4 linked regions of the Saccharomyces cerevisiae S288C genome follow. The gene in region 4 interacts genetically with the main gene of each other region. Each region holds a gene or a part of one and is shown on either strand. Other genes may lie near its edges.

What was found.
Region 1: mutations in MCM22 (region 4) and RAD61 together harm fitness more than expected from each alone (negative genetic interaction), as found in Saccharomyces cerevisiae (5 studies listed by BioGRID, with this or other methods).
Region 2: mutations in MCM22 (region 4) and MAD2 impair growth when combined (synthetic growth defect), as found in Saccharomyces cerevisiae (6 studies listed by BioGRID, with this or other methods).
Region 3: mutations in MCM22 (region 4) and KAR3 together harm fitness more than expected from each alone (negative genetic interaction), as found in Saccharomyces cerevisiae (5 studies listed by BioGRID, with this or other methods).

The regions. Positions count from the first base shown.
Region 1 is NC_001136.10:469,947-477,986, reverse strand, and holds RAD61 (Rad61p), read right to left. Parts: upstream 3,942-8,040; coding exon 1,998-3,941; downstream 1-1,997. Other genes in the region: HED1 (Hed1p), read right to left, coding at 1-190; DNA replication protein PSF1, read right to left, coding at 4,204-4,830; 60S ribosomal protein uL4 RPL4B, read right to left, coding at 5,046-6,134; ATP-binding cassette transporter SNQ2, read right to left, coding at 7,563-8,040. UniProt on the Saccharomyces cerevisiae protein: Involved in resistance to ionizing radiation.
Region 2 is NC_001142.9:384,171-391,307, reverse strand, and holds MAD2 (spindle checkpoint protein MAD2), read right to left. Parts: upstream 3,652-7,137; coding exon 3,061-3,651; downstream 1-3,060. Other genes in the region: VPS53 (Vps53p), read left to right, coding at 455-2,923; Rab geranylgeranyltransferase BET4, read left to right, coding at 3,870-3,872, 3,960-4,940; RNA-dependent ATPase HCA4, read right to left, coding at 5,159-7,137. UniProt on the Saccharomyces cerevisiae protein: Central component of the spindle assembly checkpoint which is a feedback control that prevents cells with incompletely assembled spindles from leaving mitosis. Thought to be recruited to unattached kinetochores by MAD1.
Region 3 is NC_001148.4:815,234-823,621, forward strand, and holds KAR3 (Kar3p), read right to left. Parts: upstream 2,691-8,388; coding exon 501-2,690; downstream 1-500. Other genes in the region: TAZ1 (lysophosphatidylcholine acyltransferase), read left to right, coding at 1-303; rRNA-processing protein RRP15, read left to right, coding at 3,090-3,842; ribosome biosynthesis protein NOC4, read right to left, coding at 4,532-6,190; ASN1 (asparagine synthase (glutamine-hydrolyzing) 1), read left to right, coding at 7,387-8,388. UniProt on the Saccharomyces cerevisiae protein: Minus end-directed microtubule (MT) motor involved in spindle midzone assembly, poleward transport of newly captured kinetochores along the lateral side of MTs, karyogamy (nuclear fusion) during mating, and with an essential function in meiosis I.
Region 4 is NC_001142.9:674,026-681,296, forward strand, and holds MCM22 (Mcm22p), read right to left. Parts: upstream 2,754-7,271; coding exon 2,034-2,753; downstream 1-2,033. Other genes in the region: SGM1 (Sgm1p), read right to left, coding at 1-1,827; protein transporter TIM8, read left to right, coding at 2,946-3,209; TTI2 (Tti2p), read right to left, coding at 3,416-4,681; MET5 (sulfite reductase (NADPH) subunit beta), read right to left, coding at 4,932-7,271. UniProt on the Saccharomyces cerevisiae protein: Component of the kinetochore, a multiprotein complex that assembles on centromeric DNA and attaches chromosomes to spindle microtubules, mediating chromosome segregation and sister chromatid segregation during meiosis and mitosis.

The sequences.
Region 1 (8,040 bases), on a different chromosome or scaffold from region 4:
GTTGTTGTTTTTCCAATTCCAAATTAAACAGTCTTCTTTCTACAACGTTGATGTTGACTATGGGAGAAGTCGTAATAGACCTTTTGTTCTTTCTTGCTGGAGCAACTTCGGTGCACAAGCTCTTTTCGGCATTATTATGTACCCCGAGTGGTATATAGGAGCAGCTTCTCCTATTTGATCTTTGTTGCATCGTCTTGATTTCTCTCTTTCGTTCGTCTCTGACATGTAGTTGTAATTCAAGAATTTAACCTGGGCGGCTATCTTAATAAATAGTGCATTACTCAAGCAAAAATCAGAAACCACGTACGCTAATTAAAGCCGTGAAAAACGAAAATATAAATATGCGAGAGTATACATTAAAATATTGTACATGTTAGCGACGCAGATTTATACCTCGCCATTTTTAGTCTTGAATTGAGGTGATCTTTTATTAAAGAGCATATCACCTCGGCAAGAACCCAGGTCTATTACACAAGTGGCAAGGCAAAGTGTGCATAATAAATATGTAATATAGTTACTTGCATTTTTTAATCTCTTGAGGTTATTATTCCTCATGTTGTCTAACTTCCAAGCAACTAGGAGTGATAAACACGTCGTCTTTAGGAATGGTGAACATTGGCAGTTATGGCCATTCAGAATGAATTTCAAGAGAAAAAGGATGCACCTTGCATGAAGTACCAAGAAAATAGACAAATCCGCTGGAGAAATTGGTATTGTTACTATAATTCTTATTCCCGATGTTCCAAGCAGGCATTCACATGCATCAGTTGAAAGGTATATAAGTACTACTTCAATATATCTATCAGCTCTGGGAAAATGCTTCAAGAAGGAAAAATGATAAGTAAACTATCCTTTAACGCCTCATGATTATTGAATAGCCTATACATGCAGAGATTAAATTTGATCCAACACCAGTAAATCCTTAGTTAAGTCATCGCATGCATGTTTACCATACATTCACTACTATTTGTGTACGGAAGACCAAATAAGATAAACCATAATGCTGGTCTCCTTCCATTTACTAACATACGTAATTGCTCCTACTGCCGTTCAGCCTAACCTACTCACACATTCTGATGGTGATCATGCAATCTTTGAGTGAATATGTTGACTAAAAGAACATTAAGCTTTATTTTTTTGGCGTGACCAGCGGGTACTGCGATTCTTTGACTTTGTTTTCTACTGTATCACTGGAAATTGATTGAATAATTAACCAATTTAAAGTAACAATAACACAGTATCACAAAAAGTCACCTGATGGACCTTATGGGATATAGAATTTTTACCCGCCGAGTTTCAAGACTCTGCGGTATATTAATTACCATCAGTACATTATTAATGAATATATTAACCTTTTTTCGTATGTTTATTAATATACTATTTTTATTGCATTGTTATATCGTCTACCCGAAGTACTCTAGGCTTCCTATGCCTCGAAAAAAAGGTTTTAGTCTTTCAGTTTTTTAAGCCCTTTCAACCTTTTTTAAAAGGTGCGGAGATCCTGCTCATATTTTTTTATGATTAGTTATTTTGATATTATGCGTATGATAAATAATCACACCAAGTAATTCAACCTGAATTTCTTATTCGTGTTTAATATGAAACAGTATGATTTCTTTTATTTGTATAACGCTCCTGATGAATTGTGCAGTCAAGGAAATTAATTAAATAATTAAATAATACTGCATTTATTTTCCACCAAACTTATGTCGTGAAAAAAAATTGTCAGGAGTATAACTCTTAAAAAGTAAGCTACCATTGACATTTTAAAGAAATTGTAGATGAACATATTAAAAGCGCCATAAGGCATACAAAAAAATACGCTAGAAGGCTCATCAAAGATCCTGGTAGCTTCAATGCACTGAAAGCGATGTCAAAATTTAAGCAAGTGCATGGCATTCATTAATTTAAGGATAACATAATAAATTCTGGACAATTTTTCAATAGTTGCCAGCAGGGTGAAGATGAAGCCAGGCTATGTTCAATGTATGCTTTCTTTATATTGTAATTCTTTCACTCGTGTATATTGATTTTAGGTAATTTAACGCTATTTCGATTTTATTTGAAATACCTTCATTAAATTGAGATGTTTCCGATTTAAATGCTTCCAGCTCTACTAGTAACAAATTGAGCTCCCCTGGGTCTAAATTACTATTTTCTTTCCGTTGTTTAATTAAAAATGAAAAATTTAAGTAAAACAGGCCCTGTACTAACCTATTTTCAGTGTCAGAACCGTCACGGATCATTTTAACAAATATAGTTTTCATATCATACCATAATTTGCCGTCAAGTTTTAAACGACTATTTTCTCTACTGCAAATATTGAGGCAGAGCCCTAAATGCAAGAGTATGTTATCAACTTTCGCGTCTGTCAATGGATGTATGCTTTCCAAAATTGTGTTCATTGAACTTTGAAATATCATATCTGCCTCTTTCCATAGCGTATAGTTATGTACTTCCATGTTTGTTAACAAGATTAGGATTTTAATCAACGAGTCATCATCAAGCATATCCTTAAACTGATTATTCAAGTTGCTTATCAGTGAATCGAACATTTCAGGTTGTTCAATATACATGTGGCAAAATTCGGAAGCGGTTATTAATTTTTCTAAAAGAGGAATAAAAGTCTTAACGTGCCGACTGAATAAGTCCTTATTTGAAGCAAGGATGGAGATTCTCTTGATTATATCTAACGATAAATTACCATGCATTTCCCAGAGTGATAATGAATAATAAAGTCCCGTTTTGAATTGAGTCTTCCGAAGAAAGTCTTCGAAATTTAGGTGTGAGAGTTTTTTAATATGCTTATTCTTTTTTGTCCGTATTTTACCATCATCTTTACTTAATTCGATAGAGAAATTGTCAAAGCTTGGCGGGAAATCGGATTGTGATTCACTAACTTTATGTAGTAAATAACCCTGTAATAAGATTAATTCAGGAAAATCCGATCTAAATTGCGCAAAACTAAGCTTAATTATTTCCTTTTTGAAATATCTTTTCGCATATTGAAAAAATTCTTCGTCATTAATAATCATTAGGGATAAATTTAAAAGTTTTTTAAAGTATTCATTGATTGGTACCGTAGTATTGTCATTACTTTTAGAATTGGACAGAAGAAACTCAATATCATCCTGGTATTTTATTGTATCTCCCATATTTTTTAATTCGTTGTAGTGATTTGTTGAAGTTAATCCTTCTTTTTCAGCATTACTGTTGTCAGCGTTATTTAGGGACAAGGTGTTAGCTTTCTGATCTACCTCTTCTCCCATTATTTCATTTTCTTTATTTTTGTTTATTAATATTGTTCTAAATTTGCCATATTTTTTGTCTTTGGATGTGCGTATGCTATTATTCTCTATAGAGTCGTCCATCTTCATCTCATTTTCAAGCATTTTATTCAGTATATCATCGTCAGCTCTCGGTAGCTTCAATATGAATTCATTGATGTCATTGTATATTTTCCTTATTGATTCAAATTCATTGTGCATTGTAATGCTGTCTTCATCTTGTACGTCTGGTTCAATTGAAGACGTTATGTTCGCATCATGCTTTTGGTAAGTTCTTCTTCTTTTTCTCTTAGATGCCTTTGAACCATCAAGGAAATTAAAGGCACTTAACTTTTCATCTTTCATAAATGCCATTGAGGTATCACTGCTAGTGATAATTTTGACGTTTTGGTCATTCCTTTTTGAGTCCAGTTGTGAAGAGGGCTTCTCATTTGCACCATCAAATGACGACGAGCTGTCCTGAGCCTTTCTAGGCTCGTCCAATAATCCCTCTATCGGGTGGTCTGCAATACTGCTCGAAATGGTAGAACTTACATCAGGAATCACGGAGTTTACATCGTCATCACTAAATTCAACATCGGAAGAAGATGGCAAGCCTTTATTAGATCTAAAAGGAGTTCTGAGAACTGGGCCCCTCTTTCCATATGCTCTCATTTTTTCAGAAACAGGATGCTTTAGGGTAAGAAGATGGTTTCGTTTTGCGATAGTTTCTCTGCGCAGTTTTTCATTATTATAATAAAGTGAAGCTTCGTCATCAATAAAGTCGCGTAAAGCTCAGAAAGCCTCCTCAACCAAAACTTACGAAATCTATTAAAAAGGGCTGAAGTAAACATAGAAGGGAGTAAATTAGAATGGAGGTATGTATCTTGCTTTATAAAGGATTATATATCATGAAGACCAGCTTGAAAGCATTTTATCATATCTTCTGCAAATAACCTTGTTGAATCAAACGCTCTACATCAGACTGCCTTACGAAAAACTGGGAGTCTTTAATAAGGTTAAACACGCCGTATTCAGTTTGAATCTCACCAGCATCTTTGAGCACTCTAACATCAATAAATACATCGCTCGGAGGCACTAAAGAGCCGGATAAATCAATATCGACCAAGTCACCACTTTTTAAATCAGTAATTAAATCGCAGTATTCTTTCAAATATTCCTGCTCTTGATGAGAAAGGTTATTTGTGTCTTGTTGGCTAAACGTAATGCTACTCATCAAGTCCAGACCATTATTATTCCAAGCCATAGAATCTAGTATGTCTGTTCTCAACCTTTGGTATGCTAAGAGACATCTCTTGTTCCTTTCCATACATAACAAGGTAACGAAATACTGGCATTTAGCCACCTTATCATCTAGCATTCCTAGTTGCTGCTGTTCTTTAAGATATTCCGTATTTTTACGTAAATTTGAAACTTCTTTCAGAATATTTCGTATTATATCTTCATGATACATGGGTAAATTAACATCTTGATTACTTCTTGCGTACAGCTGTTTTGTTCTTTTAGCTTCTAATACTAATTTATTACCTAAATCTCCATACATGATTCTCTGTGAGCATGGCCGTTTATAAACGATTTTCCCTCACATCTATTTTTCAGCTTTCTTCGTTAGTTATTTTAAATTACAATTTTCGCGTTGTAACGACAAGAAGGTTTTGAGCAAATCTGACGTTTCGACTTTAAAGAAAACAAAAAGGTTTGATTAAAGACTAGTAACAAAGATATTTAAATTAAAGTTAAAGATCTATACTATAAATTCTAGTCATGCTTCAAGGTTTCGGCGAAAACAGCAGCTGGCTTGGTACCAGTCTTTTCAGCCTTCTTGGAACCTAGCTTTTCAGCAGCAAAGACCTTGGCGTAAGGGTTCAATCTCAACAAAACTTGCTTGTTCTTCAATGGGTTCTTCTTCAAAACGTGAGTACGCTTTTGAGTAGCTTGGCCAGCTGGTCTGATAGCAGATTGGATTTCAGAAGAGTTGATAATTCTGGTGACATCAGAAGTGGAGATGATGTGGGATGGCAAAGTGTAACCGACCTTGGAGGAGGCAACGGTTTCGGAACCCCAGACTTGGTCCAACTTGGTGAAAGCAGCTTCGGTCCAGATAACGAATCTACCCAAGTGAGCACCTGGAGCCAATTGCAACAAGTTCAAAGAAGCAACGTTGGCAGTTTCAACACCTGGAACGTTTCTCAAGGCCTTGACGATACCGTTGTCTTCAGCGTAGACAACTAATGGACCTCTTCTTTGAGTCCATCTTCTGTTTCTGTACTTACCCTTACCGGCTCTCAATTTCTTGGACTTCAAGACCTTCAACAAGTCGGAGTGAGCACCAACAGCCTTCAAAGCAGCAACAGCTTCCTTGGTCTTTTGAATAGATTCCAAGTCAGTGGAGACAACCAATGGGATTTCTGGAATCTTTTCGACTCTGTGACCTCTGGCCAAGACCAAAGAAGCAACAGCAGTAGCAGCAATAGCAGAAGCAGTGGCGTAACGCTTTTCGTTGTGGTTAACCTTAACGTTCCACTTTCTCCAGGTCTTAGTTGGAGCAAACATACGACCACCACGACACATGTTACCGAAGGCACCTTGACCGGATCTACCGGTACCACCACCACCAACTCTTGGAATACGAGCGACGGCACGACCGGTACCCCAGGATTCAGCGGAGGTTTGGTGACCAGCCTTTTCAGAAACAGCGTAAGCTTGTCTCTTGTTCTTGTTCACAGAGGTGAAAACAGTGTGGACAATGTCAGGACGGATAGGAGCGGAGAAGACAGCTGGCAATGGCAAGGCATTGGCAGTAGCTTCACCAGTCAAAGAGTGAACAGTAACTTGTGGACGGGACATTATTATTGGTATATACCCTAGTAAATGACTATGAATATGTAAGCGATTGCTGATAGGAAAGAAATATTATTTTCAATAATAATAGTAGTGTAACGTATTCATGATCTTCATGAAAACTTTTCCAGAGTACTTGAAAAAAAAAAAATGTTAAAAAAATTGCGTCTGCGCGATGCTTTCGTAAATAATTATATTTCTAACGGAATAGACAATTCATGCCTTCAGTGCAGTTCTTAGCAATATGCGCAGTTGTTTTATAATTCAGATACGCTGAGGAAAGCGCTTCTAAATTGTTATTTTCCCATTTGTTCCAATCTATCAAAACTAACGTTATCTATATTCAAAAATTCCTGTAAGATGAATACCGTTACGATAAATAAGGCAGGACTTACGGAACATGTAGGGTCCGGATAAGGGTTGCTTTATTGCGAAATGTTCTTATAGTGCAACCCTTAATAGAGTTATGAAAACTTTTCATAAAACAGAAAATTTTTATCACTCTTTTCAACCAAGCTGTCGAATGAACTATGCAGAAAAAAAGAATAATAAAAAATTACAATTTGGTAATTGGGAGAGGTCGCTGCATGCACTTCTTAAGACAAAAATAAGTTTACTCATTTTCTAAGTTGGTCAGCTGTAATCTATCGTGGTCATTTCTTGTTCTCACTTCTTTCGAATATTATTTCTGAAAAATACTGCTGCAATATAGTATATGTTGTTCAATCACAAAGCTCCAGGGTATGACTTGCCACAATAGTGATTTGCAAATATAAGCAGACATTAGTGGGCAAGTTAACCGTTTAGCAACACTATTGTTTCTACTGGATGTCTTTCCTTTGAGTAATATAGAATGACCTTCCTAAATAGAATAAGACACAGAAACTGTGGTATGGAGGCTGTTGTTTTCCTGTGTCCAATTTTTTTATTTTCTTTTGTCTAAAGAAGGGACAGGACAGGTAAGGGTTGACAGGCCAGATAATTTACCAAGTTTTGTTAATCATATGAAAGGGATATAAAAATGAAACAAAATAGAAAAAATGTAGAAACACTAAATTTGAAGTTCAATTTTGGTGACCAGTTTGAGGAGCCTCAGTTTTTTTGTCTTATTCTTTTCGTTTAGCTTGTACTTGCAACACCTTGCTTAGATCGTAATCCAATATTTTGAGTCGAAACCCAAGGGTAAAATAAACTTTTTTACTCAACAAGACTTGACTTTTGAAAACTACGAGAGTTATACACAATGTAACTATTAACATGGTAATACAAGACTTTTTTTTTGTATCTATTATAAACTATACTTATTGTTAATTATATGAATGTCAGTATAAAAGTGAAACGAGATGTACTCGTGTCTTCTTCTATAGTGTAAAATGAGAATTAAGAATTAAAGGCAGATGAATGCACAAAATGTTAAGTTATCTGAAGCCCACATTACTGCTTCTTTTTCCTTATGTTTTTAATTTTATTGAGTATAGATACGGGGCTTAGGAAGGAAGATTGTCTTACATGGAAGAGGTAATACACACAAACCATAGCAATGATATTGAAGAAAATGTAAATCCAAAATATTCCAAAATTTCTCCACAAGTAGCTATACTTAGAGCTGATATGTGTCAAATAATTATCTCCAACTTCGTAAATACAGTATGCACAATCTGACGTAGCATCAGGATTTTCGATGTAACCAGTAGCTTTTTCCAAAAAGGGTTTCATGTACTCTCCACACGTTGAGCCGTTTGGTGGGTTGAAGTAGTTTAGTTCTTTCTTTTTGCATACGACTGGTTTTTTGTGCAGCATAATTCCGACCAGATTCTGAACAAAATATGTGTATGGGGAAGCCTTCCACATGAATGTCCAGAAGCCAGGCATCAATGAGACAGGTTGTGTAACACCACAGAAAGAAAGCATA
Region 2 (7,137 bases), 290 kb from region 4:
TCTGGCCCGAAACCGTTGCGAGCGTGCCAATTGGTGGTGATATCTTTTTTCTTCCCTTTTTTTTTGTTTTCCGTTCTGTTATGTTCCTTCATCTTGAATTCACTAAAGGGAACAGAAGAAAAAGTTGGATATTAGATAAGCGGTACTTTTCTACAGGTCTAGTATTATTCCTCGGTTGGAACAAGAAATAGTGCTTCAGTAGCTCAGTAGGAAGAGCGTCAGTCTCATAATCTGAAGGTCGAGAGTTCGAACCTCCCCTGGAGCATATTTTTATACGTATATCTTTTTTCCCTCTATTTTGTTTTTTTTTTCTTTGTTTTTTCGTAGCTAGTAAAGAAGAGAAGGAGACCTAAAGTGTATATATACTTAATCTGCGATCATTGAAAAGTCGCTAGCTTATTGTCACTTACTGCATTTTCACAACATCTTCCATTTTTGTTTTCTCAGAAGGACAATGCTGGAAGGTACGGTAGATTATGACCCGCTGGAAGATATTACCAATATACTTTTTTCAAAAGAATCCCTGAACAACATAGATGAACTGATCAGTATTACCAGAAGCTACAAAAAGCAATTGCAAGAGGATATTCTCAAAGAAGAGAATGAATTGAAGGAACACCCTAAAAATTCCGCTGAAATAGAGGCTTCTCTGAGGAAAGTTTTCCAAGATTTCAAAGAAACTCAAGATGTCTCAGCCTCCACCGAGTTGACGATATCGAATCTGACAGAAGGTATCTCGTACCTGGACATTGCCAAGAAAAACCTCACCCACTCTTTGACTCTTTTCCAAAATTTAAAGATATTGACAGACAGTTACATACAATGCAATGAATTACTCTCACAGGGCTCATTCAAAAAAATGGTGTCCCCTTATAAGATAATGTGTTCGCTTGCTGAAAACACATTCATCTCTTACAAATCATTGGACGAGATAAACTATTTGTTGAGCTCCATTTCAAGACTGAAAGGAGACACTTTGTCCAAAATTAAACAAAACTACAATGCGCTCTTTTCCGGCGGCAATATCTCAGAGCATGATACAGCACTCACTATGGAATTGCGCGAAGGTGCCTGCGAGCTACTCGACTGCGATACAAGTACGAGAGCCCAGATGATAGATTGGTGTTTGGACAAACTTCTCTTCGAAATGAAAGAGATATTTAGGGTCGACGATGAAGCCGGATCCCTAGAAAATTTATCGAGAAGATACATTTACTTCAAAAAAATTCTTAATAACTTCAATTCAAAGTTCGCAGACTATTTCTTAAAAGACTGGGAAATGGCAGTCAGATTGACCACCACTTTTTATCACATTACACACAAGGACCTTCAGACACTTCTGAAAAGGGAATTCAAAGACAAGAACCCTTCCATTGATCTATTCATGACAGCATTACAATCGACGCTAGATTTCGAAAAATACATCGACGTACGATTTTCAAAAAAAATTAAGGAACCAAAACTAAGTTCCTGCTTCGAACCTTATTTGACTTTATGGGTGTCTCACCAAAACCAAATGATGGAAAAGAAATTTCTTTCTTATATGAGTGAGCCGAAGTACCCATCTAATGAAACAGAATCTCTCGTGTTACCCTCGAGTGCAGACCTTTTCAGGACATATCGTTCCGTACTGACTCAGACCTTAGAGCTCATTGATAATAATGCCAATGATAGCATATTGACTTCATTGGCAAATTTTTTCAGTAGATGGCTTCAAACTTACTCACAAAAAATTCTTCTTCCTTTACTGCTGCCCGACAATATTGAAGTCCAGGATAAGCTAGAAGCTGCCAAGTATACCGTTTTATTGATCAATACTGCAGATTATTGTGCCACGACTATAGATCAATTGGAGGATAAATTATCTGAATTCAGCGGTAATCGTGAAAAGCTGGCAAACAGTTTTACGAAAACGAAAAATATATACGACGATTTACTAGCAAAAGGAACTTCTTTTCTATTAAACCGTGTCATACCCTTAGATCTAAATTTTGTATGGAGAGAGTTTATCAACAATGATTGGTCAAATGCTGCGATAGAAGATTATAGCAGGTACATGGTAACCCTCAAATCCGTACTTAAAATGCCCGCATTAACAGATGCCTCTATTAAACAACAGCAAGAGCAACCTTCGACTTTGGCATTTATTTTGTCGCAATTCAATAGAGATGTTTATAAGTGGAATTTCTTGGATAAGGTGATTGATATCATCACTACAAATTTTGTAAGCAATACCATCCGCCTTCTGCAGCCCGTTCCACCCTTTTCCCTGGCGGGCAGCAAAAGGAAATTTGAAACCAGAACTGTTGTCAACATTGGCGAGCAGCTTCTCCTTGATTTAGAATTGCTGAAGGAGATTTTTCACACTTTACCAGAAAGTGTAAGTAACGATTCTGACTTGCGAGAAAATACCTCTTATAAGAGGGTGAAAAGACATGCAGACAATAATATAGACCAGCTGCTGAAGTTTATTAAACTTCTAATGGCTCCTCTGGATTCCGCTGATGACTATTACGAGACCTACTCCAAATTGACCAATAATAACCCTGATTCAGCGGTATGGTCTTTTGTCCTCGCTTTAAAGGGCATTCCATGGGACCTGGCATTATGGAAAAAGCTATGGAGTGCCTACAACTTAGAAACAGACGACACTGACGAGGGCAGCAGGCCAGACAGTAATCGCGATCTTTTCATATTCAAGTGGGACAAGGTACTTTTGGGTCAATTTGAAAACAACTTGGCAAGGATGCAAGATCCGAATTGGTCAAAATTTGTGAGGCAAGATCTGAAAATATCACCACCTGTTATGAAGAGGATAGTATCCACCCCTCAAATACAACAACAAAAAGAAGAACAAAAAAAGCAAAGTTTGAGTGTCAAAGACTTCGTTTCTCACTCAAGGTTCTTTAACAGAGGCACTTGAAAAAACGCATGAAGTGGTTTACAGAGGAAGTACGTAGTATAGTATAATATAGTTCATAAATCTATATTCTTTCTAAACATCGAAAACGAGATTTTTTTGGACTTCCGTCTTTTTTTTTTTTTTTGACTTGAATTCTATTAATATTTATAGCTGACCTGCGCACCAACTTTATGATCGTTGGTAGAGAATGTTTTGAATTGAACTACTTCACCATCAGGTATCTCTTTACTATTGGAGTCGGCCCATTCTAACGGAACTTTAGCATCCGCGTCTGTATATGCAAGTACTGTGAATGTGTACCCACCTTCTTTTGTTAGTTCGGGCAGAAAGGTAACGCTTGAGGTGATTTGCCTGATTAAAGCTCTGATTTGTGATTGTGTTGTATTTAAATCTACAACATCATCCTGCCCGTTGCTATTGCCAGAAATGTGTTGCACATTGAAGGACCATCTTTCCACCACCTCTCCCTCATCCTTGTCTACAATACATAATACTAATTGATTGCATTTTCCACCAAGAAGCCACCTGTGAACTTGTAGAAGAATTTTCCGAATGTAATCTTTCAGTTCATCATCATGTGTCTTTAGTAACGTAAGATCGTACTTTTTCACCGTTACGAAATCTTCTGCTGGGTATACGCCTCTTTGGTACAAAATGGAATTAATGCTGTACTCGAAAAATTCTGTAACTGTCCTTGTTGAACCCTTTAGTGATATTGATTGTGACATTAAATGTGCTATTGGGCCCCTTTGAAGTGGTTTTCAATACTCTTGTACGAGTATTTAACATCAATCATTCTTCGGGGCGATTTCTATTCTTGAAATGTTAAATCATAAACCATACGTAAACATTTGAAAAAAATTAAAGGCAAAAAAGAAAAAAACCACATTTTTGAGCCACATATACCTAGTATACTGAATTTATACTATAAAGCAGTAGGTCAGCAATGGTATGTGCACTTCAAATGTTCGTTACATTATGAATTCTTTTTTTTACTGACTACCAAGCAATTTTTTATATTTGCCACATTAAACAGCATGGCATTAAAAGGAAACAGTGGACCAAGGAATTACTGAGACAAAAGAGAGTTCAAGACGAAAAGAAAATATATGATTATAGAAGCTTGACTGAAAATGTTTTGAATATGAGAGATGAAAAAATTTACTCAATTGAAGCTCTGAAGAAAACATCAGAACTTCTTGAGAAAAATCCGGAATTTAATGCTATTTGGAATTACAGAAGGGATATTATAGCGAGTTTGGCTTCTGAGTTGGAAATACCTTTCTGGGATAAAGAGTTAGTTTTTGTAATGATGCTATTGAAGGATTACCCCAAAGTCTATTGGATATGGAATCACAGACTTTGGGTCTTGAAACATTATCCTACGAGTTCCCCTAAAGTGTGGCAAACTGAACTTGCTGTCGTGAATAAGTTATTGGAACAAGATGCAAGAAATTACCACGGATGGCATTACCGCAGAATAGTTGTTGGTAACATAGAGAGTATCACTAATAAAAGTCTTGACAAGGAGGAGTTTGAATACACAACAATAAAGATTAACAATAACATTTCAAATTATTCTGCATGGCACCAAAGAGTACAGATCATAAGCAGAATGTTTCAGAAAGGAGAGGTTGGGAATCAAAAGGAGTATATTCGGACTGAAATATCTTATATCATCAACGCTATGTTTACCGACGCCGAAGACCAATCCGTATGGTTTTATATCAAGTGGTTCATTAAAAACGACATTGTTTGTAAAACTCTGGACGAACAAGAGTACCTTAAAATGTTGAAAGACTTGAGAGAAAACATTCTGTTAATAAATAATGACGAAATTGAATTTTCCGGGAAGCAAAATATTTGGTGCTTGAAAATTTTATTAGTTCTCGAAGATATTCTGGAAGAAAAGGAAGCTCTAACGGAAAGAAGCTCGGAACAATATTTGGTCCAATTAATAGATGCGGATCCGTTAAGAAAGAATAGATACCTACATCTCCTGGAGCAGCATAAGTGATGATATACATATATAAACATATATATATATGTATATATGATGGAAGCCTGTTCACTATAAGCGGGATTTCATTTGACACCTTCAATGCACGAAAGTATATGCATATTTTTCTTTTATTGTAATATTACCGATGATTTGAACAAAGAAATAAGTATATTAGTGTAGAGAATAGATGTATACAAGTTCTAAATACTATAGGTTAGACTATGCAGGAGGGTTTAACCCTGGATTAATTTAGCTGTCAAAGATTCCAAATCCTCCAAAGTTTGTGGTTCTTCCACTTCAATAATGTCATCATCAACTGAATTGGATGGATTGTGGCCGTGGGAATAGTCAACAGTTCTAGCTTTCTTTTTCAAGTGGCCTTCCGAGTCAGGCATATCACCGTCGCTCATATCATCGCTCAAGTTTCCTGTTCCTAAATATGCTACTGTCTTCCCTTCTTCTTCATCTCCAGAAATTTCTTCTTCCATAGCAGCCTCCATTTCCCTTCTCATGGCTTCTAGTCTTTTTCTCTTCTTCTCTTGTTTTTTTTCTTTAGCCACCTGCTTATCAATATTGTCAATGTCTGCCATTACTGCAGATTCTTTAGTTAAAAATTCTGTCTTTTGTACCTCCGCATCACCTCTCTTATGAAATTCTTCTTCATCTTCAAGTTCATAAACTGGATGGGCTTCGCCTTCATCATCAAATATTAATTTGCTAGCGTTACCCTTGGAGGCCAGAGATGCCTTCTTTGAAAGCGCTTTCTTCTGTGCTCGCCTTGAAGTTGGAAGAGTTAGAGCTGGTAACTCAGCTTCATTTATTTCATGATCTTTACGCTTGACAGAAATGAAATCGTCATCCTCGTCTTCTTGTGCTTGAGCCTTCGTTATATTCAAATAGTGTTCACTTAAGATGGTTTGATTTTTACGTTCAAACATTTTATCATATTTTGTTCTTGGTTGTTTCGACTTATCTTCAATTACTTCACCATCTTCATTTGCTTTTGATAAGAAAGCTAGCTGTCTTGGAGCATTCTTTCTTTCTTTGGCCTGCTCAATGGTCTTCATACCCTTCATTTTGATTTTTGGGGCCCCTGGTAAACCAAGAGAATAAGCGAATTCTTCTGTTGGTAACTCATCGAATTTGAAAACTTGTTTGTCCTTTTGCACATATATAGATCTCACGTACGATATAAAAGCCTTTTGTCCTAGATATTTTAGTTCTGGATCCTTGAATAATAATGACTGCAATTGTGGTTTAATGGATTTCTTTTTTGACTGTTTTATATTAAGTTTGCCTGGTTCGATCTTTCTAGCGTTAAGTCTTTTTAGGAACGCTTCCTGCTCTTGTGGAGTCAACATGATTAAAGATTTACCCTTTTTACCGTAACGAGCACATCTACCGACTCTGTGGATATATGTATCAACGTCCTCTGGACAATCCACTTGAACAACCCAATCGACTGCAGGAAAGTCAATACCTCTAGCAACGACATCGGTAGCAAAAAGACACACCTGTTGAGCACGATTGAATTTGTCCAAAGTTTCTGTCCTAGCACGTTGTTTCTGTCTACCGTGTAAATGCATTAAAGAAATACCAGGCTGCATCTTCCTAAATGTCTCATAGACAAAATGCACTTGTTTGGAACTTGATAAGAAAACGATCATTTTGCATTTTAAATGTGATTTTATAAAACTGAAAAGGATATCCAATTTATCTGCCAAAGGAACTTCAATGTAGAATTGTTGCAAAGTTTCTGGAGTAGATGCTTCTTTGTTAACCGACCCATCCATCACATCATGTGTACCAACGGTTTTATAATCTGTCAAGGAAAGCCTAGCCAAGTCTGCAACAGATTGTGATTGAGTCGCTGAAAATAAAAGTGTTTGTCTAGATGGTGACAATGTGCTTACGATGGCATCCAGAGTTTTTTTAAACCCCATGTCTAAACATCTATCAGCTTCGTCAAGAACAAGCATCTGCAAATTGGAAGTATTTAGACCTACGGCTTGATCTAAATGTTGTAAAATACGACCAGGTGTACCGATAAGAATGTTAATCCTTGATATCCTTTCTAGTTCGAATTTAACATCTTTACCACCGATAACTAACCCAGCTGAAAATGAAGTGTGACTACCTATTTTCGTCAAAACCTCATATATTTGCATAGCCAACTCTCTTGTTGGAGATATGATAAGGGCACCTAACCCAT
Region 3 (8,388 bases), on a different chromosome or scaffold from region 4:
AAATACTATGATCCCAAAAATCCTAACGACCTCTCTGACGAATTGAAATATGGTAAAGAGGCGCAAGATTTAAGAAGCAGATTAGCCGCTGAACTGAGAGCCCATGTTGCTGAAATTAGAAATGAAGTTCGCAAATTACCACGCGAAGACCCTAGGTTCAAATCCCCCTCATGGTGGAAGCGGTTCAACACCACGGAAGGTAAATCGGACCCAGATGTTAAAGTCATTGGCGAAAATTGGGCAATAAGGAGGATGCAAAAGTTTCTGCCTCCAGAGGGTAAACCAAAGGGTAAGGATGATTGAAATTTAAGCAATTAAATTCGTGTAAATACTAGCATGTATGAGGTCATTTTTACATAACAAATATTCATTACTTACTTTGCTTTTTATCTGTGCGCATTAAAATGAGTTTCATATATAATATAGTTACATGTGATGAATGTATGGACAGTCTCTGTCATTTGTCAAAGGAGTGAAAAAGACCAGAAAAGGCCTTGACCTCATTTTCTACTAACCAATCTGGTAGAATTCACTTTAGACGCAAATCTTAACGAATTGAGAGTCTCATTAATATGAGAGGAGCTTGGTGAAATGTTTACAAACATTAATGTTTTCGAATCCCCAGTGAGTGAATATTGCAGTAGGTATGTCAGTTTTGAGTTCCTGAACGGTATATGTCTTTTGGTACTATCAGGCTGACCTAAAGCATGAATAACGTCACCTAAGCAACTTAAAGATTTATTTATATTTTGTGTTTCTCTTAATCTATCCCCTACAACTTGAGAGACATTTATTCTTTCGGAACCGGCCAAATCAACAAGATTTAGTGTGCCATACGAGTGTGCTCCAGTTTTTGCATTTGATCCAGACAAATGAATTATGAAAATACTGTGTGAACGGGAGGAATGCTCATTTGATGCTGTGCTAGCGGTGGATCTTAATTTATTTGCTTTTTTCAGGATTATTTCCACCATTTCTTCCGACTCAAGCTTGCAACTCGTAACATTCGTTATCGTGGTAGTCTTAGTTTCCTGATCATGACGTATTTCGTGCTTTAAGCCAATGCTTGTGTCTTCTTTATTATTATTATCACTTCTCAATAAGTCTACGATGTTCTCGTTGTAGATCTCAATGAATTCGCAGTTAACTTTATAATCCCATCCTTTTGTCTTTAATTTATTGATCCAGTTAAATATATGAGATATTGTGGACGGAATGATACCATCACCTGGATTTAACATCGTGAAAGTTTTCCCAGATCCTGTTTGTCCGTATGCGAAGATACAAACATTATATCCATCTAATGAACTTTGCACTAACTGACCAACTTCTTTAAAAACATCCACATTTGTATCCTGTTGATCAAATATTTTATCAAATTTGAATTCATGCACTTGCGCTGTGTTTTGTATTTTCGTCACTTCCATAGATTGAACACCACTATTGTCATCAAATTCATTAACATTAATAAGGCTAGTATCAGAATTTTCCAAATTTTTTAGAGCTGGACGAATCCTACAATAAACTCGTATATTTCCTCTTAACTCTTGTAACTCATTATGCAATGTGCGTCTAACCGTTTCCTCTTTAATCAGAATTTCATTCAACTCCTTCATACCCAGTTCAGTGTCTTTTATATATTCCTCAAGTTCTTTGATCTTTTCCAAAGTTTCTAAATTAGTTTTCTGTTTTAATGCCACCTCATCTCTCAGCCTTGTAGTTTCCTCTTCCTTTTCTTTAACTTTTACTTTGATAGCTTCATACGCGTTACGCTTTTCTGTTAAGAGCTTCTTTTTTTCTGCCAACTCAGGTTTTAATGTATTTTCGATTTCCTTTTTTATGCTTTCGATTTCTTGCATATGTTTATTATTCAGCTCTATATCCTTTTTCCACTGCGATTGGTACTCTGTAAGCCATTCTTCTTTTTCAAGCATATGCTTTTGTTCAACATCGTTCAACATTTCCTGTAAAGTGGAAGGGTTCATGGTGATTTTATTTCTTACCTCTTCTATTTTATCTAAAAGCGACGCTCTTTCATTTTCAAACTGTTTAATCTTCATAAATTTCAATTTCTCAATTTTTGTTTTGTATTCATTTTCCATTTGTTTCAGCTCTTTTTTATTAGATGCCGCTAGCTGCTTTAAATGTATTTCATGTCCTTCATTCATGAACTGCTTCTTTGACAAAAATTCTTCTTTAATCGAGATAAGTTCATTGTTTTTCAAATTCAGTTGCTGTTCAATTTTTATCTTTTCTTCACGAAGGGTTTCAAATTTGAGATTAACGGCATTGATTTTCTCTTTCGTTTCTGTTAGTTCATCTTTGAGTAAATCTAGTGTTGCCTTTTTCTCAAATAAGATTGCTTGTGTTCTATTGAGTTCATTAACATTTTCTTTATAAAAGGAAGTTACACCGGAGTTGCTTTTCTGGTTTCCATAAATCAAATTTGCTGTACCTTTATAATTCTTTAAAAGCTCGCGATTAGGTGACATGGATATGCGACTCTGACTAGCTAATGAGTGTCTATGAATATCCGTACGTTGCGGCTTCAGAAGAGTGTGCTTAGGCGGTGGAGTTGTTGTATTTCTTCTTTTGTGGCCATTCATAGCTAAAATATCATTCTTCGGCGATGGTGTCGAGAGATGCTGCGTAGATCTGCCTTTTGTGGGAGTACGTGGAAGTGATTCCATAGTTTAATAGTTGCCAGAATTTCTCTAAGTCCTTTATTTCAAAATCTACCTTTTTTAAACAAAGACTCCGGATAGTTGTTCTGGTATATTCAAATAGAATAATAAGAAACACAAAGAGCGGAAAAATTGATAGCTTTAATGCTTATATAATATTCGATAATTTTTTTAGCTGTAATACTCATCATCATATTTTGATTCGAGGCGCATCAAATTGTAAACAGTGTTTGTTTTGATTTTGTTTGAGATTCATTTTGGTGTATCTCCATTACCCTCTTATTGGAAAATTTTGAAAGAAAAAAATCTAGGATTCGATGCCCATAAGATATAAGGAAAGGTAATAAACAGATGCTATGAATAAAGCGATAGAGAAGCCGAAGGAAAATCAGTACATAATTGATCATGGGCTCCAAGCACAGAGTAGACACTAAGGATAAGAAAAGAACCAGAAAGAATGCAGAATTTGGGCGTGAAAAAAGGAATAGTGGCAACCAAGAGTTAAGTAATGAGCCGGAAAAAGATACAATAATGGAAGGTGATGAAGCCGAAGAAGACGAGCAGAATAGCTCTAGCGATGAATCATCTAAAATTATAGATAACGAACAAAGTGATGCTGAAGAAGATGATGATGAAGAAGAAGAGGACGACGACTTCCCAAGAAAGAAAAAATCGAAAAACAGCAAACATGATGATGGTTCTACTGGATTTTCTGCTGCAGTAAATGCTATTTTATCATCACATCTGAAAGCATACGACAGGAAGGACCCCATCATGGCTAGAAACAAAAAGGTGCTGAAGCAAAGTGAGTCAGAAAAGCTAGAATACAAGGCCAAAAAAGCATTGTTGGCAGAAAAAAAAAAGTTATTAGGTAAAGCCAGAAAGACGGATATTATTCCAATTGCTTCCGGAGAAGACAGGTCAGAAAATATTAGAAAAGTCCTTGAGAAGGAGACAGCGCTCAGAAAGATAGCTCAAAAAGGTGCCGTGAAATTATTTAACGCCATTTTAGCAACTCAAGTCAAGACAGAAAAGGAAGTATCCGAAAATTTAAGCGAAATTAAGAATAAAGAAGAAAAGAAAGAATTGATCACTGAAGTTTCCAAAGAAAAATTTTTGGATTTAGTTAAAGCTGCCGCAGGAAGCGACAATGAATAATCAACATGTTCATGTCAAAAGAAGAAAAAAAATAAAGAAATAAAAACTGTATATTATTTAGTCTATGTCAAGCGAGAAAGGGGCCCTATATCTTCCCTCCTCCTTGCAATTGAATTTTGTTTGCATTCTATATTATCATATAGTTTCATATCAATTGCAAAAACTTTTGCAGCCAATGTTACAAAATTGTTTTCAATCAAAGAAATACAGGTGTGGTGTCCTTCACCATCGATATATTAATATTAATATATCATGAATAAATATAAAAATTCAAGGTAATGTACTTGTGCACTTCTTTTAGAATATAGCAATTTCCCTTAGCTCTTTTTCAAATTGTAATTCTCTACAATACATAAAAAGAAATTGATCTTTGGTTCAACTTTATATATCGCAATAAGCAATTCTCAACATTATGAAAGTTTATCTAAATTAAACAATCTTCAACAATAGAATGGTCTCTTGGCCCAGTTGGTTAAGGCACCGTGCTAATAACGCGGGGATCAGCGGTTCGATCCCGCTAGAGACCATTTATTTTTGACCCAGGTTTTTTTCCTAGGCAAAATTGATAACAGGGACTTACTATTTTCTATTTTTTTTTTTTTTTACATCTCAAACAAGGGAAATCGATGACTCTGTTGATATAAATGTATATATACACACTTTTAAAACTTCGTTGTTCATCTTCGCTTTCACCATGCTACCCCAGGCAAGTAGACGTTACCTTGGGATGACGCTTCGCTATCGCCGTCTTCATTATCAAAAACGTTTGTGAAAGCCTCAAATTCTAACGTAGGAAGTGTCTTCAACTTTCTTGAAGATTCTGCATTGAGCAAAGAATCATAGTTCCAGTCTAAGAAATCTTCCATGTTATAACTTAGCTTCTTAAATGGTTGAGCAAATATCTTCGCCAACGTGGCTACATTAGGATGATAATGTTCCATCAATGACGCCAGCTCCCACAGAGAGGAATCCAGTGCATGAGTTAACTCAGGGTCCGATTCATGAACATCGAAGGGATCTACATAGTTTTCTTTCAGAGTTTTCAAGTTCGCCACTTGGTCAGGTGTCTGGAATGGGTTGGAAATGAAGGCTGGGTTGTGCAGCATAATCATACAATTCGGATGTTTCCTGATTAAATTATAGATGAAGGGAATCACGGTGACAATAGCAGAGGGTGGTGATTCTAGGGTGAGTCTGGCTAGCTTTTTGATGAAAGATGCTACTAAATGGGCGGATAAATGTGTTGATGACAAAAATACGTCCATTAACCTGAAAAATCTTGCTCTGTATTTAACATGCATTAAGTCTGGATTTATAATTTGATAAAGTTTCATATAAAAATTTGGATATTCCAAGTTGAATCTTTTCATCAATTCAAAAAGGCCATTCAGAGCCAAGATCGGAACAACACCGGCGTTTTTATTAGAGCTTTGCAAATTGTAGGAATCAGTAAGGAAATCCATTAGTTTAGTTGGAGTGTGGAAATGAGGTATTATTCTCTTATGCAAAATTAACAGAATAGACTTATACTGCTGTAAAGACAATTGGCCGTTTAAAAGGGATAACCAATTTTTCTCGAAATTGGACTTGAATTTGGACTCGTTCTCTATGGCTTGTGGGGGATTTGGTACAAAGATCTCTAAATCTGCATCAACACTAGAGCAATGTTTGTCATGATTTACTAAAGCTAACCATTTACCAACGTTTTTCAAAAGCAAGTCCTGGTAGGCTGGATCCTCTAATAGTTGGTTAAATTCTGATTGAAAGTAGTATTGAATATCTGCAAATTTCGTATAATATTTTTCCGTGAATTCTACTATGATTAAATTTTCAGACGCACCCGAGCTTTTGACATCCTCTATTTCACCCATGTTCGAGGACCATAGGGCGATGATTAACTTTCTGAATGTTTTATTGGGGAAAAATGGTGCGCCCTTTTCAGATGCAAAATGAGTTGATTCCAGCTCTGCAAGTTGAAGATAGACATCAAGCGAATCTAACCCAAGTGATGTTTCGAAAGGTATGTCCGAAATGATAGCTAACAGCTTCGTCTTGAACGCTTCATACACCTTTCTACACCAATTAACAAACTGTTCCTTCTCTAATGTGCTCTTTTTGGACGAAGGAAGGGTCAAGTCGCCGCGGGAAAACAGCTTTCTAAATATCTGGAATAGCGACATAACCAGAAATCTCAAATTTTTTTCTGTCTCATCTTCTTCCAATTGAGTAACATTTTCTGGAATCACTAGTTCATTGATTAACTTGATAATGGAGTTGTACTGCTTTCTGTCACCCGCAGCAGTCAGCCTCTTGGCAATATCTTTAATTTCTGATATAAGCAATACCATATTCTTTGACGTTTCTTTTTAATAGATCTCTCTTCATGGCAATAGAGGATGATAATTACATCTCATCTCATCTCATCAAAACCGTAATACACTTTTTTTTTTCTCAGTTGGAAAATTTTAGTGAAAAATTTCAAGAATAGCCCTAAACCTTCAAATACGAGGATTACCCGTAGAGAAGTGCTGAAAAACTTTTTTCTTTTTCTTTTTTTTCGATTTTCATTTAACAGGTATAAAAAGCGAAACACTCGGTACATATATTTTACCAAGACGCGTTAGATTTTCTTTGGAGGTTTCATTTAAAGAAACCAATGACCTTCCAAGTTTTTAAAAGAATACGATGATATTATTTGCGTTTCAAATCGAACAATTCTTCTCGGAGCGATCTGAGGTTTTAATGGAGATAGCGGTTCCTGCGCAACCCATTGATCTTGTTACATTCTTAAGAATGACAAGGACGCTTTTATAAAATTCTGATTCTTTTTTCTTTCATTCTTTTGTTGTTTTTGACTTGGGAGTAGTCATCTCATCTGTACACAAGTAGCTTTTTATATGTTCTTAAATTGTAGACTAGTCAAAACTTGTGTCCTTTAAACCGTGCCGAAACAGTTTTAAAGCGGACATCCAGGGAAACTTGCCGTTAACAATAAGTGACCTTGCATGGAAGACTGTCGATTGGTCTCTGTGGAAACCAGTGCATATCTAAATTAAATCTATTGTCATCACGAATGCCGCCCGTGTTCGTGCAACGTGAGCGCAAATACGCCTGGGGTCTGTCTTTCTGCGCTGGAAAGCACCTTCGGGCATCAACTACCGTTTCTTATCGCTGGCACTATCTATCCACCAATCACACGGCAGCAGTACTGCTGCCGTGGACGGCAAATTAGGTACAGGGCCTATGACTGTTATCATTTGGCAGGCTCAGACAGAGAGAGAGAGCACAAGGAAAAGAGCCTTAACTCATGTAACATTTGACTCATTCTGTAAACTGAAAATTTGCTGCCCACTCGAGATGACAAATAGTTCGTTCTTGAATTTATGCGCATTTATAGATACGCATATATAACCCTATAGTGAACGCCACTAGGAGACAGATTCTGTTTGGACCCTGATCGCATACTCTTCTTACCTTTACATAATAAAATAAGAAAAAGTATAACTTGCTTTACGCTAAGGATATAAATCGGACGTAACTTAAGATGTGTGGTATTTTCGCCGCTTTCAGGCACGAAGACGTGCATAGATATAAGCCAAAGGCTCTACAACTATCAAAAAGAATCAGACACCGTGGTCCAGATTGGTCCGGTAATGCTATCAAGAACTCCACTATATTTGTTCATGAAAGACTAGCCATTGTCGGTGTGGAATCCGGTGCTCAACCAATTACTTCTTCAGACGGAGAGTACATGCTATGTGTTAACGGTGAAATCTACAACCACATTCAATTAAGAGAAGAATGCGCAGACTACGAGTTTGGAACACTGAGTGACTGTGAGCCTATCATCCCAATGTACTTAAAGCACGATATCGACGCTCCTAAGTACTTGGATGGTATGTTTGCTTGGACTCTTTACGACGCTAAACAAGATCGTATTGTGGCAGCCAGAGACCCAATCGGTATTACGACATTATATATGGGACGCTCTTCCGCTTCTCCAAAGACCGTTTATTTTGCATCCGAACTAAAATGTTTGACTGACGACTGTGACACTATCACTGCATTCCCACCGGGCCACGTATACGATTCTAAGACTGACAAGATCACCCGTTACTTCACACCAGATTGGCTGGACGAAAAACGCATTCCTTCCACCCCAATAGATTACATGGCAATTAGACACTCCTTAGAAAAAGCCGTTAGAAAGAGATTAATGGCCGAAGTCCCATACGGTGTTCTATTGTCGGGTGGTTTGGACTCCTCTTTAATCGCTTCCATTGCTGCCCGTGAAACTGCAAAGGCCACTAACGATGTCGAACCATCAACTTACGATAGTAAGGCAAGACATCTAGCAGGTATCGACGATGACGGTAAGCTACACACTGCTGGTTGGACAAGTCTCCATTCCTTTGCCATCGGTTTACCAAATGCTCCAGATTTGCAAGCCGCAAGAAAGGTTGCCAAATTCATCGGCTCTATTCATCATGAACACACCTTTACATTACAAGAAGGTTTGGATGCTTTGGACGACGTGATCTACCAT
Region 4 (7,271 bases):
TTCCAATCTTTTTAACTCCGTACTTAACTTGTTCACCAGATGAGCGCTTATGTGGCCGTTAGAATTCGATAGCTGGACGCTAGCTCTTCTGTATGGTATTGATGTGTTGTTTAACGAGTTCATTGATTCCCCTTCCCTGATTGCTTGTAAAGCAGCGGCCTCTTCTGGAATATCGTCAATGCTGAAATCCACATTTTTTCTATCAAAATGTTGGCTTTCTTCGCTACATATGGTTTCGTGAGATTCATTGTAAATGGGTTTTAGAGACGGATCGCTTTCTAATTCGCCAAGTTTTGACATTGATAATGACAGCATAGAATTTTCTTGAGGTAAAGTCCATTCGTCTTCTATATTTCCCTCCATGGAGTTTAAACTATCTGTTAATTCTACAGGTATTTTATCTATAATTTTCTCATTGCTGTTTTCTTGATGTGGTTTTAGTTCGTTCTCTTTTTGTTCCAACTGAGACCTTTGAATTTCGTACTTCTTCTTCAGTAGATTATAATCATCACTTATACTTTGCAATGATGACTTCAATGTCTCCGCCCGTCTCTCCAAGTCTTTCACTTCCAAAACTGCCTTCGAATGATTCTCTTTTTCTTTTTCTAATTGCTTACCTAATGTTTCAGATGAACGTAAGGCAGTTTGATATTTTTCTTCAATATCATTTTTTTCTTTCATTGTAGATTCAAAGCGGTTTTCCAAGTTCACAATTTTAGTGTTCAAAGCGTATTCAATACTATCCCAGTTGGCCTTTGATGACTCAAGCTGTTCTTTGAGCCGATTGTATTGGAAAGATGCGTGTTGTTTTTCTTCATAACTTTGTTGGTCATCGACAAAATCTCTATTTGATTTAGCGTCTAAATTTTGAGTAGAGCTATCTAATTCTATTCTTAGTTGTTCTAGTTTAGTCTCTAGAGTGGTAACTTGATCAACTGTTGCTTCTTGTAGTGCTTTCTTTTCCGTTTGAAATTCACTTTTTTCTTTTTCAAGCAATGTTCTCATATTATCTAAAGATTGCTGTAAAATTGTTATCAAATCATCTTTTTCTTTTATATTTTTCTCTAATGTTTCAAGTGACTCTTTTTGTTTATCTGCATCCTTTAATTTATTTGTAGCTTCAGCCAGTTGTCCTTGTATGTTGTGATACAATGATTGCAGCTCATTATAGTTTTCGACACTCTGAGCAGAACTATCGTTTAGTTCAGATACCTCATACTCTAAGTCTTTCACTTTTGTTCTTAAAGCTTTGATTTGATTTGATTGCCTCAGCTCAGTTTCCGCTAATTTAGCTCCTTCTTTTCTCAACTGATCTATCAAGTCGTCCTTCTCTTTAATCAATTTGAAAAAACTAGAATCCGTGGTTTCGATTTGTGATTTTCTGTTTAGTTCGTTAGTTAGGTCATCAATCTGTTTGTTTAATCTTAAATATTCAGGACTAATTTCTTTGACTAATTCTTCAACAGTAAATTCAGTGTAATTTTTAGGTAGCCATGTAGGCAGTGATACCATAGTGTCGTCGAAGCAATCAGTCCTATTGTGATCGGGATGCACCACGTCATCGACAGCGATTGAATCTGCCTTACCTGTATCGCCTTCCACAGTGCTTTCTGATCGTACCGCAGGATCATCTATGTTTTCAGCATTGTCAATTGACACCACACCGGCAGCCGCATCATCAATGGATGTACGAGCACTTTCTTGTTCATTGTTTGACAGCACCACAGGCGATGGAGACGACAAATTTGACGTTGACCTTTTATTTTTCTTTCTTCCTTTCTTAGTTGCCAAGGAGAGTCTCTCTTCCAACGATAATTTTTTACTCATAGCAAAATTGGTATACCACTACCATACAACACTTTTTATATACTATTCTGGACTAAGGACCTTTTAACGACAGTCTATTAAAAGAGGAAGTCAAGAGCTTTTTGGTGAATAATCTACGGTTACTGCCAAATTATGATCTTCTAAATTTTGGCGCTTTATAACATCCTCACACCACTACGAAGCACACTTTGACTACGAAGTATTACTTAAGTTAGACTGGTCTCATTGAAATCTATTAGTTTGATGTATTTAGTCCCTGGATTTGTAGAGCCCTCAATTACTGTTATTATATTAGCCCTAAGTAATAATCTGTATATTGGTATCGTTTTAGATGAAAAATCGTTTAATGTCAGATTCAAATCATGCTCAATTAGTCTTTTCATTAACAGCATGACTTCGTTCGTTAAGCTATCTATTGATTCATCATTATCATCCAAATTCGGTACTAGATAACCCTTGAGAAAGTCCGCCAGTGAGTCCCAAAGCTCTTTATTTCTGGCTTTTCGTGTTCTAATATGGGCGTGATCTTGCTTCTTACTGTCCATAATGGTCATTTGATGCTGCAGTTTTCGTAGCAGCTCTTTCAAGTCACTATTAATATTATTCTGTAACAATAACATGGCCTTTTGATCAACTGATTGATCATTCATAAGCGAGAGCCATTCACTGGAACTTTGGGCTCTCAAAGACAAAAAATTCGATGTCAAACTGAAACCAATAGGATCAGCTCTCTCTGAGAAGAACATGGGTTTTCTTAATAACTCTGTAAAGACCTCAGAATTGACCGGTTTACCCTCTGTATCCAGAGATCTCTTCGTGATCTCATCGATGGCACCTTGAGCTTGCTTCAAGAAATATCGTTTGTTTCCGATCTGGTTCTCCAGGTTCTTTATGTAGACATCCAGGACATCCTTTTCAACATCCATGTTTCCTTTGTGAGACTTTCTGCCGTTTGCTCTTGTCCCTCTTTGTCGTCATATGCGTCTTGTTTGTTGTTACGCTGCATATCAAAGCGAACGGTTAGTTATTAACTAACGTAAAAATTGATGGAAACATTCATTTATATGAAAGTATTGAAGAAGAGGTAAAAAGGAAAACAAATTTACAAACAACAAAGAATGTCTTCTCTATCAACGTCTGATTTGGCCTCCCTTGATGACACTTCCAAAAAGGAAATTGCTACTTTCTTGGAGGGAGAGAACTCCAAACAAAAAGTCCAGATGTCAATCCATCAATTCACTAATATATGCTTCAAAAAATGTGTTGAGTCTGTCAATGATTCTAATTTAAGTTCGCAAGAAGAGCAATGTTTGTCTAACTGTGTGAATCGGTTTTTGGATACTAATATCAGGATTGTGAACGGGTTGCAAAACACCCGTTAATATGAAACCGATTTATCTCTCCGAGTCATTATTCTCTTTACCTTAATATATCTGTAAATAAGCAAATGAATATTTTAATATATGTCCAAGGTTTCTTTAAAAGGGATTCTTCAGCATAAAGGGCAAATAACTCTTTTTGTTTATATACTGTCTAGTTATATATATATATATATGTATATGCATTTGTCTGTGTCTGTGTCTGTTTCCTATGAGAACTCAAAAAGTAACTGAAACCGCGGTTGCTTAGATAGAGTCGATAACTGTTCACCCATAGCGCAGTCACAATTCAGCAACCAGCTTATCGTTTCCTTACATTGTTGTAGTATTGATTCGTTCAACGCATCCTCTTGCGAACACTTATCGTATGTAACTAGAATTAATGATAAAATGTCGAATCTGTGAGCCACTATTCTTTCATTCGGGCAAACCTTTATGAGAGTACTTACCACTGAAAGAGTTTTTGAAATAAGTTTTGGAAAAGTTGTGTAAAAAGGATTTCGTACAATATATTCACCTAAAACAAAAATCAGCCTCTGGAGATGTACAACAGACCCTTCTCTTTGAAGTCTCAGTATGTTCATTGTGCATTCCAATGCGTATAACGTCAAATTTTCGTATGCAAGGCTAGCCCTAGGAATTATGTTTTGCAAGATTATCTCTGACATGAACTTTTCCAGGTGATATTGATACTTTGTGTAATTGTCCAAAAATTCTACTTTATATAACGACTGTATCGTTGGGAAAACGACCCGCCATATGGCTATTGTTTCATCAGCATTGTATGAGGGAGGGAGAAAATAGCACATATTGATTAGCGTCTTTTCGAACAGTGGAAATAAACCAGTACTAGAGAACTGTATCCATTTTGAGTCATTGGTTTCGTTCATAAAGGTATGATTTAATAGCGTCTGTAGGAGCAGAACACCACGAAGTTTAATTCTTCTTATATCAGTGGTATCATCTAGTATGTTTAGAATTCCTGGAATAATCCAAGAAAGATTCGTAGATATGTCTCTCCTTTTCAAATGTAACAGAATTACGTAGAATAACGGAATGCCTTTCAAGCCACCCTGACTTACCCACGCCTGCATTAGGTTATCTTCTTTCAAAGACATTCCAAGCGTGGGTTTGAGACCAAGATTACGTTGCTCTTTGAGTTCGAAGTTGCTTTTGCGTTTTAAAAGTAGTGGCTGTAACTTAGAAATAAGGACGCACATAATTTCGTCATGTTCACTTTTGTTACGCTGAAAGTAGTAATCTATAGTCTGCAAAACATCTGTGTTGATTTGTATGTCTACTCCTGGAGATATGGAGTGATATGAGAGAGATTCAATAAGGTTGACCTCATCGGACACCGTAATTGCACATCCAGTATCTGTCTTCTTTCGTAACTGGAGACACAACTCTCGAAGCCTTGTAGAAGAAAGACTCGAATCATTCAATTCATCGATGATATCAGTTACGGCCGTCATTCTTTTCAATATTTTGTTATATGATTTTATTCTTCACCTCGTTTTCATTCTTCATAGTTTTCGTTTCTCATCTGCTATTGAAAAACCGAACTAGCCGAAGGATAACAATAATGAGTCTTAACTGTTAATATACAAGATTATACAAATAAATATGTTTCTATAAAATAAAAAGTTATATTCAATTGCGAAAAAAATAAATAAATGTGGGAAGAAAACCCAATAGTATGTCCTACTATGTCATATGCTATCATTAATAGGCATCTTCAGACACATCTTCATGGAAGTATTTACCCTCGGTGGTTGGTTTAATGATACCTACTCTTATACAGAAATCACCAAAGTGTTCCCCTTCTTCTCTTTCTAAAGCATACCTTTTAAACAATGGTTTGATGTAGTCGACAATTTCCTCATCCTTCACATTGGCCTTATACAATTTGTTTAGCCTTTGGCCGAGGTAACCACCACCAAGCATCAAGTTATAAGTATGTGGAGCTTTACCAACAAGAGCTAATTCACCTAGCCATGGACGAGAACAACCGTTAGGGCAACCAGTCATTCTCATAATAATGGAATCATGGCGTAAACCATACTCTTCTAAACAATCTTCCAACTGAGTAATAATGTCAGGTAGGAAACGTTCAGATTCGGCAAACGCTAAACCACATGTTGGCAAACCAACACAGGAAGATGAAGATAATCTCAAACCGCTGAAATCGGTGTTATCCAATTTATAGGTCTTTAAAATAGATTTTATTCCAGCAACATGTTCATCTGTAATATTAGAGATAACCAAATGTTGATTACCAGTCAATCTGAAATGACCAGAATTAGTCTTAAGCATGTATTCAGCAACCTTTCTAATACCTGTCTTTTGAGGCAAATCTGGTGTATCTTCAACCCTACCATTTTCAATAAATGCGGTAAAGTGGTTTAACCCAGTTTCATCTTTAATCCATCCAAAGTAATCAATATTAGATTTAAACTCAAATGGTCTCTCAGGCTCGAATTTCTTACCCCAGTATTCCTCCACTTTTTGCTTGAAGCCTTCGACACCCATATCATCTACAGTATACTTTAAACGAGCATGCTTACGGTCTTTACGGTCACCGTGATCTCTTTGGACAATAACGATACCTTCAAGTGGTGGAATAATGTCTTCAGTTTTAACAAAACCTAAGCATGACCCTAATCTTGGGTAAGTTTTCTTGTTGTTATGAGTGGTACCCATACCACCACCAACAAAAACATTATAACCCTCCACGATTTGAGTTTCTGGGTTAACTATAGCAACTAAACCGACATCGATAGATAATACATCCACATCGTTATATGGAGGAACGGCGATGTTGAATTTAAACTTTCTTGGCAGATAAGTTGGACCGTAAATTGGTTCAATATCGACCAAAGCGTTACCGCTAACTAGAGTCTTCTTTTTTCTTGGACCATCTTTTCTGTTTTCAAAAATAGATGGCCAGGATGGATCATCGTCCTGTTCTTCTGGGCCCTCCAGCCAAACTTCGTGGTAGGCCGTAGTCTTTGGTAAGAAATGATCAGAAATCAATTTTCCCATATCAGCGATTTGTTGGTGAACCTTGGCATTGGTTGGTAGAGCAGAAACCATGACATTTCTGTTCACGTCACCTGCAGCAGCTAATGTATCCATAAGAACTGCATTCATTCCTCTCAATGTGTGTTTCAAGTTCTTCTTTAGCACACCATGAATCTGGAAGGTTGCCCTTGTTGTTAATTTCAGGGTACCATTGCCTGAAGTATCAGATAAGTGATCCAGAGCAAGCCATTGTTGTGGAGTGGTCTTACCACCTGGTAAACGAGCTCTTGCCATAAACATATAGTATGGCTCTAAGCCTTGTGACTTACGTATTTCTCTAATGTCACGATCGTCTTGGGTGTAAATACCGTGAAATTTCATTAATTGTTCATTAGCGTGAGTAACACCACCTGAAGAAGTATCCTTTAAGTTCTCACTGATAGTACCTCTCAAGAAATTAGATTCTCTCTTAATATCCTCGTTTGTAACAGGTTTTGGCTCATCATCAACAGCAGCGCCGGAAACACCAAGAGCTTCCCATAATTTAGGTTCCCACTCAGAATAAGCAGTTTGGAAACCATCAGCATCTTGATCATCACCCAGTCCCAAGGGAATTAGGGCTTTGGCACTCAATAATTCCAAGCGCTTAAATAAATCCTGTGAAGGCTTGTTAAAATAATGTTTATCTTCTTTACGTGGCCAATACTCAGAATCACCGAGACCAAAAACAGCAACATTCAAACTAGCTAAATCCAAGTCGGTGTCATTTTTCAGAGCTTCCCAGAAAGACTTACCGTCTTGGGGGAATTCACCTTGCCCAGCCGTGGAAGTAATGAAAACTACATTCTCTTCACCAGGTAATTCTTCCAAAATAATGTCATCCATGGACAGAACAGTAGCCTTTAAACCTCTTGCAGATGCCCTTGCTGCTAGTCTCTTTGCCAAGTTTGCAGCATTACCACCGTCAGAAGCATAATAGACGTGTAGCGGTGGGCCGGACAAACCCTCCAATAACTGATCGAAGGCAGCCTTGCTTCTTTT